3 linked regions of the Macaca mulatta genome follow. The protein of the gene in region 2 purifies or fractionates together with the protein of the main gene of each other region. This does not show direct contact. Links are inferred from orthologs where the notes say so. Each region holds a gene or a part of one and is shown on either strand. Other genes may lie near its edges.

The links. Proteins that work in one complex are often made in the same cells at the same time.
Region 1: the proteins of CKAP5 (region 2) and SLAIN2 purify together in Homo sapiens (affinity purification with mass spectrometry; 4 studies listed by BioGRID and IntAct, counting the BioPlex papers as one, with this or other methods). This does not show direct contact. The link is inferred for Macaca mulatta from reciprocal best matches to the Homo sapiens genes CKAP5 and SLAIN2.
Region 3: the proteins of CKAP5 (region 2) and TACC3 purify together in Homo sapiens (co-immunoprecipitation; 5 studies listed by BioGRID and IntAct, with this or other methods). This does not show direct contact. The link is inferred for Macaca mulatta from reciprocal best matches to the Homo sapiens genes CKAP5 and TACC3.

What each region holds. Positions count from the first base shown.
Region 1 is NC_133410.1:47,882,953-47,887,334, reverse strand, and holds part of SLAIN2 (SLAIN motif-containing protein 2), read right to left. Parts: intron 3,048-4,382; coding exon 2,883-3,047; intron 1,176-2,882; coding exon 1,017-1,175; intron 1-1,016.
Region 2 is NC_133419.1:18,845,608-18,849,989, reverse strand, and holds part of CKAP5 (cytoskeleton-associated protein 5), read right to left. Parts: intron 3,576-4,382; coding exon 3,388-3,575; intron 2,781-3,387; coding exon 2,705-2,780; intron 1,650-2,704; coding exon 1,461-1,649; intron 1,392-1,460; coding exon 1,233-1,391; intron 726-1,232; coding exon 642-725; intron 548-641; coding exon 388-547; intron 1-387. UniProt on the Homo sapiens protein: Binds to the plus end of microtubules and regulates microtubule dynamics and microtubule organization. Acts as a processive microtubule polymerase. Promotes cytoplasmic microtubule nucleation and elongation. Plays a major role in organizing spindle poles.
Region 3 is NC_133410.1:1,844,686-1,849,067, reverse strand, and holds part of TACC3 (transforming acidic coiled-coil-containing protein 3), read right to left. Parts: intron 3,356-4,382; coding exon 2,339-3,355; intron 271-2,338; coding exon 195-270; intron 1-194. UniProt on the Homo sapiens protein: Plays a role in the microtubule-dependent coupling of the nucleus and the centrosome. Involved in the processes that regulate centrosome-mediated interkinetic nuclear migration (INM) of neural progenitors.

The DNA.
Region 1 (4,382 bases), on a different chromosome or scaffold from region 2:
GCCACATATTTAAAGAGAACCTATTATATATACAGACAACAGAACGTTTTTGAACTAAACCGTAGCAATGCTCCATTACCCTCAGCCAACTGTCAAGACTTGTCAAAATATGTATTTCAAGGATTCTTTTCACCGTAAAGGTTAAAGAAATTACTTCAGAGAGATTTCTTACTTCATAGTTATGCAGATGGCATCTTCTAATGAAATGCATTGGCAAGAATAACTACCTTCAGATGAGTACCAGGGCAAGCAGCCATGAACCCTTCAAAAAGTATTAAAAATTTTGTGCATATGTACATTTTGGTGATAAAAGGAGTTATAATTTTTATAGGATTCTCAAAGGTATCTGTGGCCTAAAAAGTTTTCATGGTTCACTCTGCAAAGCACCATCGCATGCTTCATTTAATTTAATGTCACAAGTCCAATGTTCTCCTAACGGTCTTTTTTATAGTTTACACCATGTATTCTCAAGTGAGGAGATATTTACTCCCAAGAGGGCAAAAATTGGTTCTTGGGGTGTGAAAAAATTCCTAGATGTCATAATCGTATATTGCCCTCATGGTACTTAGTATATCTTGTGGTATTAAGATTTCATGGGGACTGTGGGTGAAAAGGAAAAACAGTTTTTAACAAGGCTCCTTAGGGGAGCAACTAAAAAGAAAAAAATTGAGAAACGCTGGTTTACACTAAAAACACAAAGGGTAACAGATAACAATTACAAGAGTAAGTGCCAGTGCAGAGTAACATGCAGGGTATGAAAACCAGTCATAGAAGCAGAGCAGCATAAATACTATTCTTTGTCCCTCACACAGCATAACTGCTCTATGAAAAAATGGACTCTGAAAACAAGTTGATGAATAAACATGTACATATGTCGACTAAGCCTCTGAAATGTCTACTGCAACATTTCTACTTTCACTACATTAGTATCCTCACAACACTTTAAGACATATTCAATATACAACAAAATTATGCAATAGTAAAAAACCTCAACTCTTAAAAATTAGAATACTTACTTTCTTCCTGCATCCGGGCTAGAATCTGTACATCGGTTACATCATTTAGCTTATAATTGGATCCAATTGAATCTTCATCTAATTCTGAAGCACTTAACTCACTATCTATAGAGGACTGAGGACTGAGTGGAGGATTTCTGTCTGAGCTTTTCAAGTTACCTTAAAAAAAAGAAAAAAAATTCAAACTTTGGTAAAGCAACGATTGAATAAATGCCTACTGTAACTAACTTGATATTATATCTTTTAATTCATTCTTGTTCTGCCTTTTCTGCTTAAAAAATTCCCTGAAATTAGAAATTGACTTCATTAAGAAAAATGAGGGCTACTGAGACTCCTTTATATGCTATGGCATAAACATATTTTCATCTAAGTATAACTTATCTATTCTCTTATGTAACAATTCAGCTTTCAACACAAAGTAATTGGTGTTCAATAACTATATGTTAAGGATTTCAACTTGCACAAGATAGCCAATGAAACTGCTCTATAAATAGATGAGTTTATGATGTAGTGTTTTCTTCACTCGAATTCACAGTCATTAACAAACACCATCATCTTTTCCCTCATTTTTCTAAATGAGAAAACTATAATTTGAATAAAATTAGATTCCTTAGAGATTTTAGGAACAAAGACCATGAGGCTTGTTTCTCCTACATTATGCCATGTTTTACAAAACTTCTTTACCAAATTAGTAATGGGGATCTAAGGATTTCTCTGAAGTTTAGTAGTGAAGCACGAAAGATGTGATGAAAAAAAAAAAAGACTAGATTTTTAAAAAGTACTTATCATTCTAAACCAAGACAGAAAACAGACCAGAGAGATAAAGAATACACACATCTAAAAAAAGTCTAACTTGTTTCTAATGAAATATTTTCATCAGATCACCAACTTTTACTAAATAATAAAATCCCAACATTGCCACTAATATTTCTATTACAGATTTATCTGAAACACTTGTTTTCCATTATTCTTCACCATAACAGTCAGCTCCAACATGAAAAGCATGTAAGGAGAGCAAGAAGAGTACAAAATAATTAATCTTTATACTATCAATGAAAGAAGAGCAGAGTGCACATGATATTAAAAGTACTACAAGGTCAGGCTCAAATAATGCCTGAACGAAATTACCTATTTTAAACAAATATTGCAGCTTAAATTTTTTAACATGGTATCATCGTAGGTGAAGTAAGTAGCAAGTAACAACCTATATACTAAGCAAAGAGCAGGATCATTAGACTAGGGAGTGCAGAGGTCAAAATTTGAGGTGGTTAACCTTAATTTTTAAGGAAGTTATAATAATCAGCTATAACAACAGCTTCAGCGACAATAAGAGTAAATGAATAGGTGAATTCGTGAAGAGTAGGCTACACAGTAACAGTCTCACACAAAGAACCAGCGCAGAACATTCTTTCCCTGGTTTATAGAAATCTGGCCTTCCCACATCATTTACTGCCCCTCCCACTCTTTTGGTACATTCACCCCTAACCTCATACTATTATTTAGCTGCAGTATCAAAATTTATTAAAATTCCTATAAAGAGGTTTTAACTCTGGAGTTTTTACAACCCAGGTAGGCTGTTCAATAAGGATCTATTGATTAAAAGAGTCATGTTTGTAACCCATTTAATTAAGCCAGACTTAAAAACTTTTAGGTACATGCTAAAAAAAATTTTATGTATTTTACACACTGGCTTATGTGTGCCTGATATAGTACCTGGTGCTAAGTTGCTCCTCAATGATATTTTCTTTAGCCAGTTAAAAGTTTCATAAGTAAAATGAACTCGAACTACAGATGAATGTTATTTTCTGATACAGTGCAGTAAGCTAAAAAACAGTCCTTAATAGCTCCATAGCATTTTCTCCTTACCTGAATTTCCAGGAAGTATAAGCTGTTTGACTATAGGAGGTCGCACGGGTGTTGAGGATGGAGAATTGAAGCCACTGCTGTATGGGCTACTGGCATTTGGACTGTAAGGACTTGTATAACTCATAGAGTTGAAAGGATTATTATATAAATTCTGCCTCTTGAGAGCTGCATTAATAAGAAGGGGAAAATCAAATTTAATAACTGAGAAAAAGTTAACATTTCATTTCTAAAGTTTTCCTATTAGAAAATTAAATCATTATCTATCTCAATTTAAATGAAAAATATTCTTATGGTAGTGGGAGAAAAATATAATAATCCCAACAAATTGTTTCTATTATCTTAAATTGTGTATGCAAATAAAACCGGAGCCACACCAAACAACAAAAATAACGCAGGAAAAGTAACTCCTAAACAGATTATTGGCCGCTTAATTCACTTCTACCATGTTGGAAAGTTTATTCTTTGATACTTGCTGTATCAATCCTGAGTGACCTTTAAAAATAAATGGAATATAAAAGCATACTTATGTTTTCTCATTTTTCTGTAACAAACGTATTACTTTTCATTTTAAAAAATATTCTTTGGGCCAGGCATGGTGGCTCACGCCTGTAATCCCAGCACTTTGGGAGGCTGAGGTGGGTGGATTACTCGAGGTCAGGAGTTTGAGACCAGCCTGGCCAAAATGGTGAAACCCTGTCTCTACTAAAAAAAAATAAATACAAAAATTAGCCAGGCATGGTGTTGCGTGCTACTTGGGAGGCTGAGGCAGGAAAATCACGTGAACTCGGGCGGCAGAGGTTGCAGTGAGCAGGCAGAGGTTACAGTGAGCAGAGATCGTGCCACGGCACTACAGCCTGGGCTACAGAGTGAGACTCGTCTTGAAAAAATATATATATATATTTTGGAGAGATGTGATCTTACCATGTTGCCCAGACTGGTCTCAAACTCCTGGCCTCAAGTGATCCTCCCATCTTGGCCTCTCGAAGTGCTGGGATTACAGGGGTGAGACACTGCACTCAACCTATGACTTTTTTAAAAAGCTAAGAAATAAGTTGTTTAAATAGCCTTTGCAAAGTTTGGATTTTTTTTTTAAAGCAATGCCGACTATTATGAAGCCAGTTTAAGGTCAAGACATGGGAAATCCTTTAAAAAAAAAAAAGCCAACCTGACTACTTCTGTCAAAAAAAGAAAAAAAAAACTGTGCTATGCATATACAATTAAATAAATAGAACAGCAGGACTAAGATATCAAATGCACATACTTAAAAAATTAACACTAAAAATACTATTTCTTCCTTCAATCTTTTTTTTTTTTTTTTTTTTTTTTGAGACAAAGTTTTGCTGTCACCCAGGCTGGAGCGCAGTGGCATGATTTCAGCTCACTATAACTTCTGCCTCTTAGGCTTAAGCGATTCTTGTGCCTCAGCCTCCCAAAGAGCTGGGATTACAGGCATGTGCCACCACGCCTGGATAATTTTTTGTATTTTTAGTAGAGACAAGG
Region 2 (4,382 bases):
AGAGCGAAACTCCGTCTCAAAAAAAAAAAAAAAAAAAAAAAAAAAAAAAAAAAAAAAAAAAAAGAGGTGAGTGAGTGAGCAAGAATCAGTCAAAGGCCAAGAAGGAATAGCCAGTGAGACTGGAGGAAAACAAGACAGCATGGAGAACTGGAAGTGAAGTGAAGAAGCTGTCTCAAGGGCAGGGAACAATTTACCTTTGTGAAATACTGATGATGGGTCAATTCAGGTGGCTTAAGAATTGACTACTGGATATAGCAATGGGAAGATCATTTGGTGACCATTAAGTATTGAGGTTCATGGATATGAATTTAAACCAACCAAAACTTCAGGTTCCTGAGCTAGGAGCTATTTTGAGCTTATTCCTGGAGCTATAAAAGGAAATCATACCTGTTGAAGTGGAAATGCGACCTTTGCCCTCCCTCTCCATCTCAATCACCCGAAGGCCTCTTTCGACATAGCTCTGGAAGAACTGTGAGGAATTTTTCAGAAATGGTTCAATGTCAGCATCTGAGTATTTCTTCTTATATTCATATAACTCTGCTAGCCCCTGGTGAACAGGAAGAGGGAAGAGGGGGAGATGAGTGTCAGTGTCCCTTTACCATAAAGCAGACCCCTATTCAGATTAACCCTTTCACTCTCACCTCTTTAGTGTTTTCTTTAGAGCCAATCTTCTTAAAAATCTCAGCTAAGAAATCATTCACTTTGGCCTTTGATGATTTTTCATCCTGAAAAGTTGAAAGACATAAGGAAGAATTGGTTAGACTTGAGTTATTAATTAGGAACTGATGGTTGGATATGAACAGAAAATATCTCAAAATCTGGGCCTTATTGGTATGTTCCTACAGATAACAGATGCACCAATGATGCAGGTCTTACAGCAGAAGCAGTAACATTCTGGGTTACTGAGTGCCTCCAGTCTCAGATTTCCACCTCAACTTGATGGAGAAGGAACTGACACATTCTTTCCAGGTTGAGTAGAGCTAGCTATTTACCTGGTGACCAATGCCTTAGGCATCTTTCTTGGGGACCAAAAAACACATGGTTATATTTAGTTTAGATTTTAAAATTTCAAGGTGGAAATGGTTACTGCACCACAGCAGGAGACTGACTGGACCAGTCTGTGAGCCTTCACCTTGGACCTTCGGAAAAGGTATCCTGGTGACCTACACCTTAGATAAGATCACTTCCGGTATAGCCTCATTTCCCTCAATCTTTCAAGTCAGGCCACTCACTATTCGAGATGCTCCCTTTTCTGTTTCCTTATCAGACTTGCTCCCAGTCTGGTCCATACTGTGCTTCATCATCCGGCAGAGATGGGCCTCCAGCTCAGACTCGTTTTTGTTGTCGATCATCGTTAGGTGGTCCAGGATCTGAGGGAGACACATGCACAACTGATAGCATTGCCATTTCTATGATTTTCTCTCAAGCTCCCTCAGAGACCAGTTGCGATTCTTACTCACCTTGGGCCCTTTTAATTTGCATAAGGTGTGTAGCAGGGTCTTTAGGGTCCTTATGGGAAATTCACTTTTGCATTGCTTCAGTTTCTCTTTGGGGAAGACCTTCATGAAAATGTGGATATCTAGAAGAATTCTGTCTAGGTTAATGCTATTGATGGTATCAGGCAATAGTCGAACCATTCTCCAGAGACACTATTGAAAAAAGAATGAAAGAGTTAGAAGGAGTGACTGAAGAATGAGGATAATTTGTCACCATTCATATTCCCTAAGCTCTGGGCTCACTTCTAAAAGATGGCCAGGGCTATAAATGTGGCACATCATATCTTTCAAGTTCAGCTGCTAAAACATGAAAATTTTAAATCACTTCTATCATGACACCAGCTGAAGTGTGTCCACTCATTCATATCTAATCACCCATCTCCACTCCTTCCCACTCCCCAGAGCTAGGGGCCATCATTTAACCTGGTGGAAATTCTCTCTTGGGTTTCCTTGGTTCCTGAGAGTAAAGTAGTTCATGTTGCTTAACCAAATCTAATGCAAGGGGACAAAATATCTGATACTAATTCAGTGTAATAACAGTATTACAATGTTATAAATATGTTCATTTGGTCTCTTTCACAAAAGAGGCCAAATATCATAGGGCTATACATATCTTTTTCCCCAAAATAAATGAAATCTGTTTCAAACTTCTTTCCTTTTGATCCTCAGAGAATTAGTAAAATATTTACAAAATACCTCCTCCCTTTCACTGTTTGAGGCCACGAACTGTTTAGGCCTGAACTTAGAATATAAATTGTAGGAAGGGAAAAACTGAAGACCAATTCATATATATATGTGTGTGTGTGTATGTATGTGTATGCATAATTTATACATATATAATACATATACATATATATAAAATACACACATATATATATAAAAACCATAAACATATATATATTTTAGAGATTAGGTCTCACTGTTGCCAAGGCTGGAGTGTAGTGGTATGATCAAGCTCGCTCCTGGGTTCAAGTAATCTCCTCACCTCAGCCTCCTGAGTAGCTGTTACTATAGGTGCATGCCACTGCACCTGGCTAAATTTTTTAAAAATTATTTTATTAATATTTTTATTATGAAAAATATATTTTCAGGTATGACTTGGTTGATATGAGCCTATGGCTTTCTTAGCTCCAATTCCTCTTTCCCCATACTTTTAACAAAGTGATTGCATCTTTGAAAGAAAAGAGATCAAATCATTTAAACTTCACCTTCATAACAAGCTCTGAGAATTTGGGAGAACTGGCTGTTGCTAGCAGGCTGTCTTGGAGCAAAACAAGTAGGGCACTGGAAGAAAAATCCAACACAACAGCATTAAGTTTCAAACCTGCATTCCAATTAAAATCAGTAGTTGAAAGGTCAAGTGAGATCACTCTATTCATCTAATAAATTGAGAGGTCATGGATCAGGAATTGTCTTGGACTACCTGATGTTCAGTTAAGAAAATAAACATCGTTTAAGCCTTTTAAGTCACCACTTGCTAAGTGTAAGGTTTGTGACTCTATTTTTCATTGTCATTGGTAGCTGAGAAAGAATAAAAGGTACCTGAAATGTACAAGAAAAATGTAACCGACAAACTTTACAGTCCTATTCTAGAAAATGCATGATATTGGCTGGCTAAGTATTTACTAGTTTTAGCTATGGTCTCAGGCTAAAATACCTTTGGTCCACGATGAAGAGTAATAAATCAACTTCCTAGGCACGCTTAAAGTTATAACTGATGTAGTTATATCAGTTATAACTACTGATGTAGTTATATCAGTTATAACTTTAAGCGTGGCTAGGAAGTTGATTTATGATTGTTAGCTTGCCTAGGGAGTTGACTATGATGGTTTCTAAGCGTAGACAAAAGAGAGGATGCCCCAGGCTCTATTGACTGAGAGTACAGATATACCTTAGGATGTTGGTCTGGTCCGACTTCTCCAGAACCTTCACCACCAAGAGGTTCACAGAGCGGATGACCTGTTGTCCTTCCTCAAGATCTTCAATCCGAGAATCCAGCATTAAGGTGATAAGGCCATGCATTAGGTCTTTTAGTACTCCAGTGGATGCCTCCCGGGCAAGGCTCTCTATCTGAAACAGCTATCCAGACATACTTGTGTCAGGGAGGTGTAAAACTCTAATATAGAGAGTGAAGAATAGAAATGTGGGTGGCATATTATGGTAAACATTCAATTATGTTGTGTTTTTTTTGAGACGGAGTCTCCTCTGTTGCCCAGGCTGGAGTGCAGTGGCGTGATTTTGGCTCACTGGAAGCTCCGCCTCCCTGGTTCATGCCATTTTCCTGCCTCAGCCTCCCGAGTAGCTGGGACTACAGGCGCCCGCCACCATGCCCAGCTAATTTTTTGTTTTTTTTTTTTTTAGTAGAGACGGGGTTTCACCGTGTTAGCCAGGATGGTCTTGATCTCCTGACCTCGTGATCCACCTGCCTCAGCCTCCCAAAGTGCTGGGATTACAGGCGCGAGCCACTGCGCCCGGCTATGTTGTGGTTTTTAAAATTTAGAATATTAACGAAAAAACAAAATCACCACACTCCCCCAAGCCTCTAGTAATAGGCAAAATTAATCAGTGTGCTTCTTTCTAATTGTAAAAGTTTGTTTTTGTTTTTTTTTCTGAGACGGAGTCTCGCTCTGTCACCCAGACTGGAGTGCAGTGGCATGATCTCGGCTCACTGCAAGCTCTGCCTCCTGGGTTCAAGCAATTCTCTGCCTCAACCTCCCGAGTAGCTGGGACTACAGGCGCCCGCCACCAGGCCTGGCTAATTTTTTGTATTTTTAGTAGAGATGGGGTTTCACTATCTTGGCCAGCTGGTCCTGAACTCCTGACCTCGTGATCCACCTGCCTCAGCCTCCCAACGTGCTGAGATTACAGGCGTGAGCCACTGCTCCC
Region 3 (4,382 bases), on a different chromosome or scaffold from region 2:
GAGTCACCCTGTGCAGTGCAGTCAAGGTACTTGGGGTGTAGCTTTGCCTCCCCACAACCTTGTCGAAGTAGACTTGGGGGAGAGGGAGCGGGACATCCCACCCCATCACCCAAGATCGCTGGGGGCTTCCACTGCCTGCTACTCTTCTACACAACCAGGCCAGGAGCACAGGCACCCACACAGGCACCCCTTACCTTGCTCTCTGCTCTTGGGGTCTCAGCTGTCAGCTGCACCACAGGTGTGTCCTCCGCTGAGGCTGAATGCAGCTGCCTGGGGAGACAGAGTCAGCAAAAGGTCCATGCCCCACACCCCATAACCCCGGCGTCCCCTGCTCCAGCACCGAGCTGCCACTGCCTTTCCCTGTACTGCTGTGCCGGCTACATGAACACTCAGCTAGAGTGCACCAGGCATGCGGCTGCCCCAAGCGACCTGGCCACAGAGCAGCCTCACCAACCTCACCCAGCAGGAAAACACACAACCTGCCTGCCAGCTCTGGAGGAAGCAGGCTGCGAGCCCTAAAGTCAGCACAACGCAGCCCAAGGGAACCACAAGGATGAGCACATCCCTTTCACTGTGAAACTGACAAAAGGCTTCAGGTGTGGAGGCTGGGGCAGGTGTGGGCAGCAAGCCACCCGAGGTGCCAAGGCAAGAGACTGAGGGCACAAGCTGTTCCAGTATAATAAATAGATAAAATAAGAAGTTATGCTAGAAATAGATGATAGATACGATTATATATGAATATCATTAACCATTAGTTTGTAGCAGTACTCTTTATTCCAATGTTATAATAATCTCTGTTCTACAATTATAACCTAGGACAAACCAGGCCATACAGAGGTAGGAGCTGAAGGGACACGGTGAGAAGAGACCAGAAGACAAGAGTGTGAGCCTCTGTCACGCCCGGACATGGCCACTAGAGGGCTCCTTGGTCTAGCGGTAGCGTCAGTGCCCGGGGAAGGCACCTGTTACTTAGCAGACTGAGAAAGGGAGTCTCCCTTTCCCTGGGGGAGTTAGAGAAGACTCTGCTCCACCACCTATTATGAAAGGCCTGACATGAGTCAAGCCTGTCCACAGCCATCCGGAGGCCTCGTCCTCCCTGTGATGCTGTGCTTCAGTGGTCATGCTCCTGTTTCACTTTCACGTTCTGCTCTGTACGCCTTCTAGAGCTTCTAGAGAACAGTAGCAGAATTAGTGAAAGTACTAAAGTCTTTGAAATGCATAGAAGAAATAATGGCGTTAAGCTGTCCTCTCTCTCTCCCCAACTCGGCTGCCAAACAGGGAAAGGCCTGGTGGACACGTGACTCACGTGACGTTACCTATCACTGGAGATGGCTCACATTCCTTACCCTGTCCCCTTGCCTTGTATCCAATAAATAACAGCTCAGCCAGGCATTCGGGGCCATTACAGTCTCCATGCCTTGGTGGTAGTGATCCCCCGGGCCCAGCTGTCTTTTCTTCTATCTCTTTTCCTTGTGTCTTTATTTCTATGATCTCTCGTCTCCGCACATGAGGAGAAAAAACCCACAGACCCAGTAGGGTTGGACCCTACAGGCAGGACAATCTCCCACTGAGCAACTCTAGGGGATGCAGCCTAAGACCATTCAGCCAGGAGGCAGCAGACCTACGGCCAAGACTCCAGCAAGCAGTAGACGCCACCCCAGGCAGTAACAGGCTTTGCCTGGCTTTTGGAGTTACATGCCCAAGTCAAGTTCACCTGAGGAGGGACATGACTGGGGGACAGGGTCCTGCCCAAGGTTGGCCGCATTTGGCTTCTGGCCTAAGCCCACCCTTATTGGATCCCTCCTTAGGCTGGGAGCACTAAAGAGATGCATGGCGCCAAGGCAAGGCCAAGAACCCTCAGCTGGGATCCACCTGAGCCCTGTTTTTGCCCAGAGGCCCCTTCTCAAGGGGAGCCCACCCGGCCTCAAAGGAGTATCTTTTTTTTTTTTTTTTTGAGACGGAGTCTCGCTCTGCCGCCCAGGCTGGAGTGCAGTGGCCGCATCTCAGCTCACTGCAAGCTCCGCCTCCCGGGTTTACGCCATTCTCCTGCCTCAGCCTCCCGAGTAGCTGGGACTACAGGCGCCCGCCACCTCGCCCGGCTAGTTTTTTTTTGTATTTTTTAGAAGAGACGGGGTTTCACCATGTTAGCCAGGATGGTCTCGATCTCCCGACCTCGTGATCCGCCCGTCTCGGCCTCCCAAACTGCTGGGATTACAGGCTTGAGCCACCGCGCCCGGCCCTCAAAGGAGTATCTGATGACACCTCTGGGTCCTTGACCACACACACACTGCGGGGCAGCTGCCCCACACCACACTCCCCACCCCATCCCCATACTTACTGGCTCAGACACGTGCCTGGCTCCTCCGTGGCAGGCCCAGCACTCAGCTGTTCAGACGCTGGCCGGCCCAGCCTGGTCTCAGGGCTTTCTGGGGGCTGGGCCTCTCTGTGACCAGACAGGGTGTCACCTCTGAATGGGTTGAAGTTTGGGTCATCCAGTTTGTCCCAGTCGAGGTGGTAAGAGCCCCGAGAAGCCGGCATGGGGGGGTCCTCCTCCACCTCCCGCAGGGCCTTTTGCTGCCTCGCTGCTGCTCTCCTCAAGGGAGGCTTGAGGCCAGATCTCTCTCCCAGTCTCCTTGGTGGGGCTGCCCTTTTGCTGGTGGCACCATCAGATAAATCAAATTCTAGTTTTATGGGTCCGCTCCTCGAGGAGCTGGCCATTTGGTCCACAGCTGCTTCTTCCTGAAGACTCAGGGTCATGGCCCTGCCAGTCACCAGGTGGCTGGTCGGGGCTGTGCTCTCAGGACAAGAAGTGTGTGCACAGGGAAGGGCCTGAGTGTCATCTGCTGGCACGGGGGTGCCCATACCCACAGGGCAGGCCAGGGCCTCACCAGGCAGACCCCCCAGGGGTGCTCCTCCACAGGCTTCCTCAGGGATCACACTAGGAGGCGAAGTGGCCCCTGCTGTGGGAGCAGAGACCCCACCATGCCGGCATTCTTCCTTGGCTCTGTGTGGAGTCTCTGCTTTGTGCTGGGACTCTGTCCTGGAAGGGTCTTCTAGGGTCTCAAAGGTGGGTGTCATTTTTCTGTCTAAGGAATAGGAACTAATATTTTCCTCCAAGGCTTGTTCAGGGCTGCCAGACACTTTTTCTGGAGACACCATTTGGTTCTCAGAACTTCCTGGGCTCTGGGAAGAACTTGAGCAGTCCAGGTCAGCCAGGGCACCCGGGCCAGGCTCGCTGGCGCTGCCACTCCCAAAGGCTGGGCTTGCATCCCCCAGGAGGTTGGCGTCAGCCTCCACTGGTTTCTGTAGAATTCCATGAGTAGTTTTGGCATCCACTTCCTTGATGAGCTGTTGGCTTTTAAAACAGACTTAGTCAACGTGAAGCAGTGAGTACTTGTGAGGTTAGGTGGCCTCGGCATCCATTCTCAACACAGGTTTAACTCTCTCACACCAGAAGCAGGGCTGAGTCACCCTTGGCACAGCTTCCCATTCTCCACCCCCCACCCTAGTTCCTCAATGTGGTTCCTTCCTGTCCTCCCAGGGACCAACTCCCTGTGGAACAGATGGACACAGCCACGTGACGTCCTCGCTGACCCCCGCCTCCGCCCCATTTCTTGGGGTTGGCTATGCATGGGGTTCCAACTTGCAGGGGTGCCTGTGGGCTGCTTGCCTGTTTAATTGTGCTCATCATGCACTTTGGCAAGTGCTGGACCCAGAGTTCTCCAGCAGCCTCTGCCACCCAAACAGCACTCGTCATCATGCACAAAGTCTGCACCCAGGCACCACAGCAAGGATGCAGCACAGGCTGCTGCCTGGGGGGTCAGATGTGGGACACCACACCCAAATGCCTCAAGCTGATGCCAGAGAAAGCAGCTTAGAGGCACCTCTCCCACCTGGTAGACTGGGCTCCTCAATTTCCCACTGCTTCCTTTATTTTTATTTATTTATTTATTTTTTGAGATGAATTTTTGCTCTGTTGCCAAGGCTGGAGTGCAATGGCATGATCTCGGCTCACTGCAACCTCTGCCTCTGGGGTTCAAGCGATTCTCCTGCCTCAGCTTCCCAAGTAGCTGGGACTACAGGTGCCCGCCACCATGCCCGGCTAATTTTGCTTTGTATTTTTAGTAAAGACAAGTTTTCACCATGTTGACCAGGCTGGTCTAGAACTCCCGACCTTAGGTGATCCACCCACCTCAGCATCCCAAAGTGCTAGGATTACAGGCAGGAGCCACGGTGACCGACATCCACCACTTCCTGTAAAAAATCCATTCAAGCGCCTGCCCACCAGCATACAGTGACCCCACCCTACTCCCTGATAGACGAGGCTGGCTGCCACCCTCTCAGCTGTCCCCTGCCTGTGCTCCAGGGCCTGCCCCAGTCCT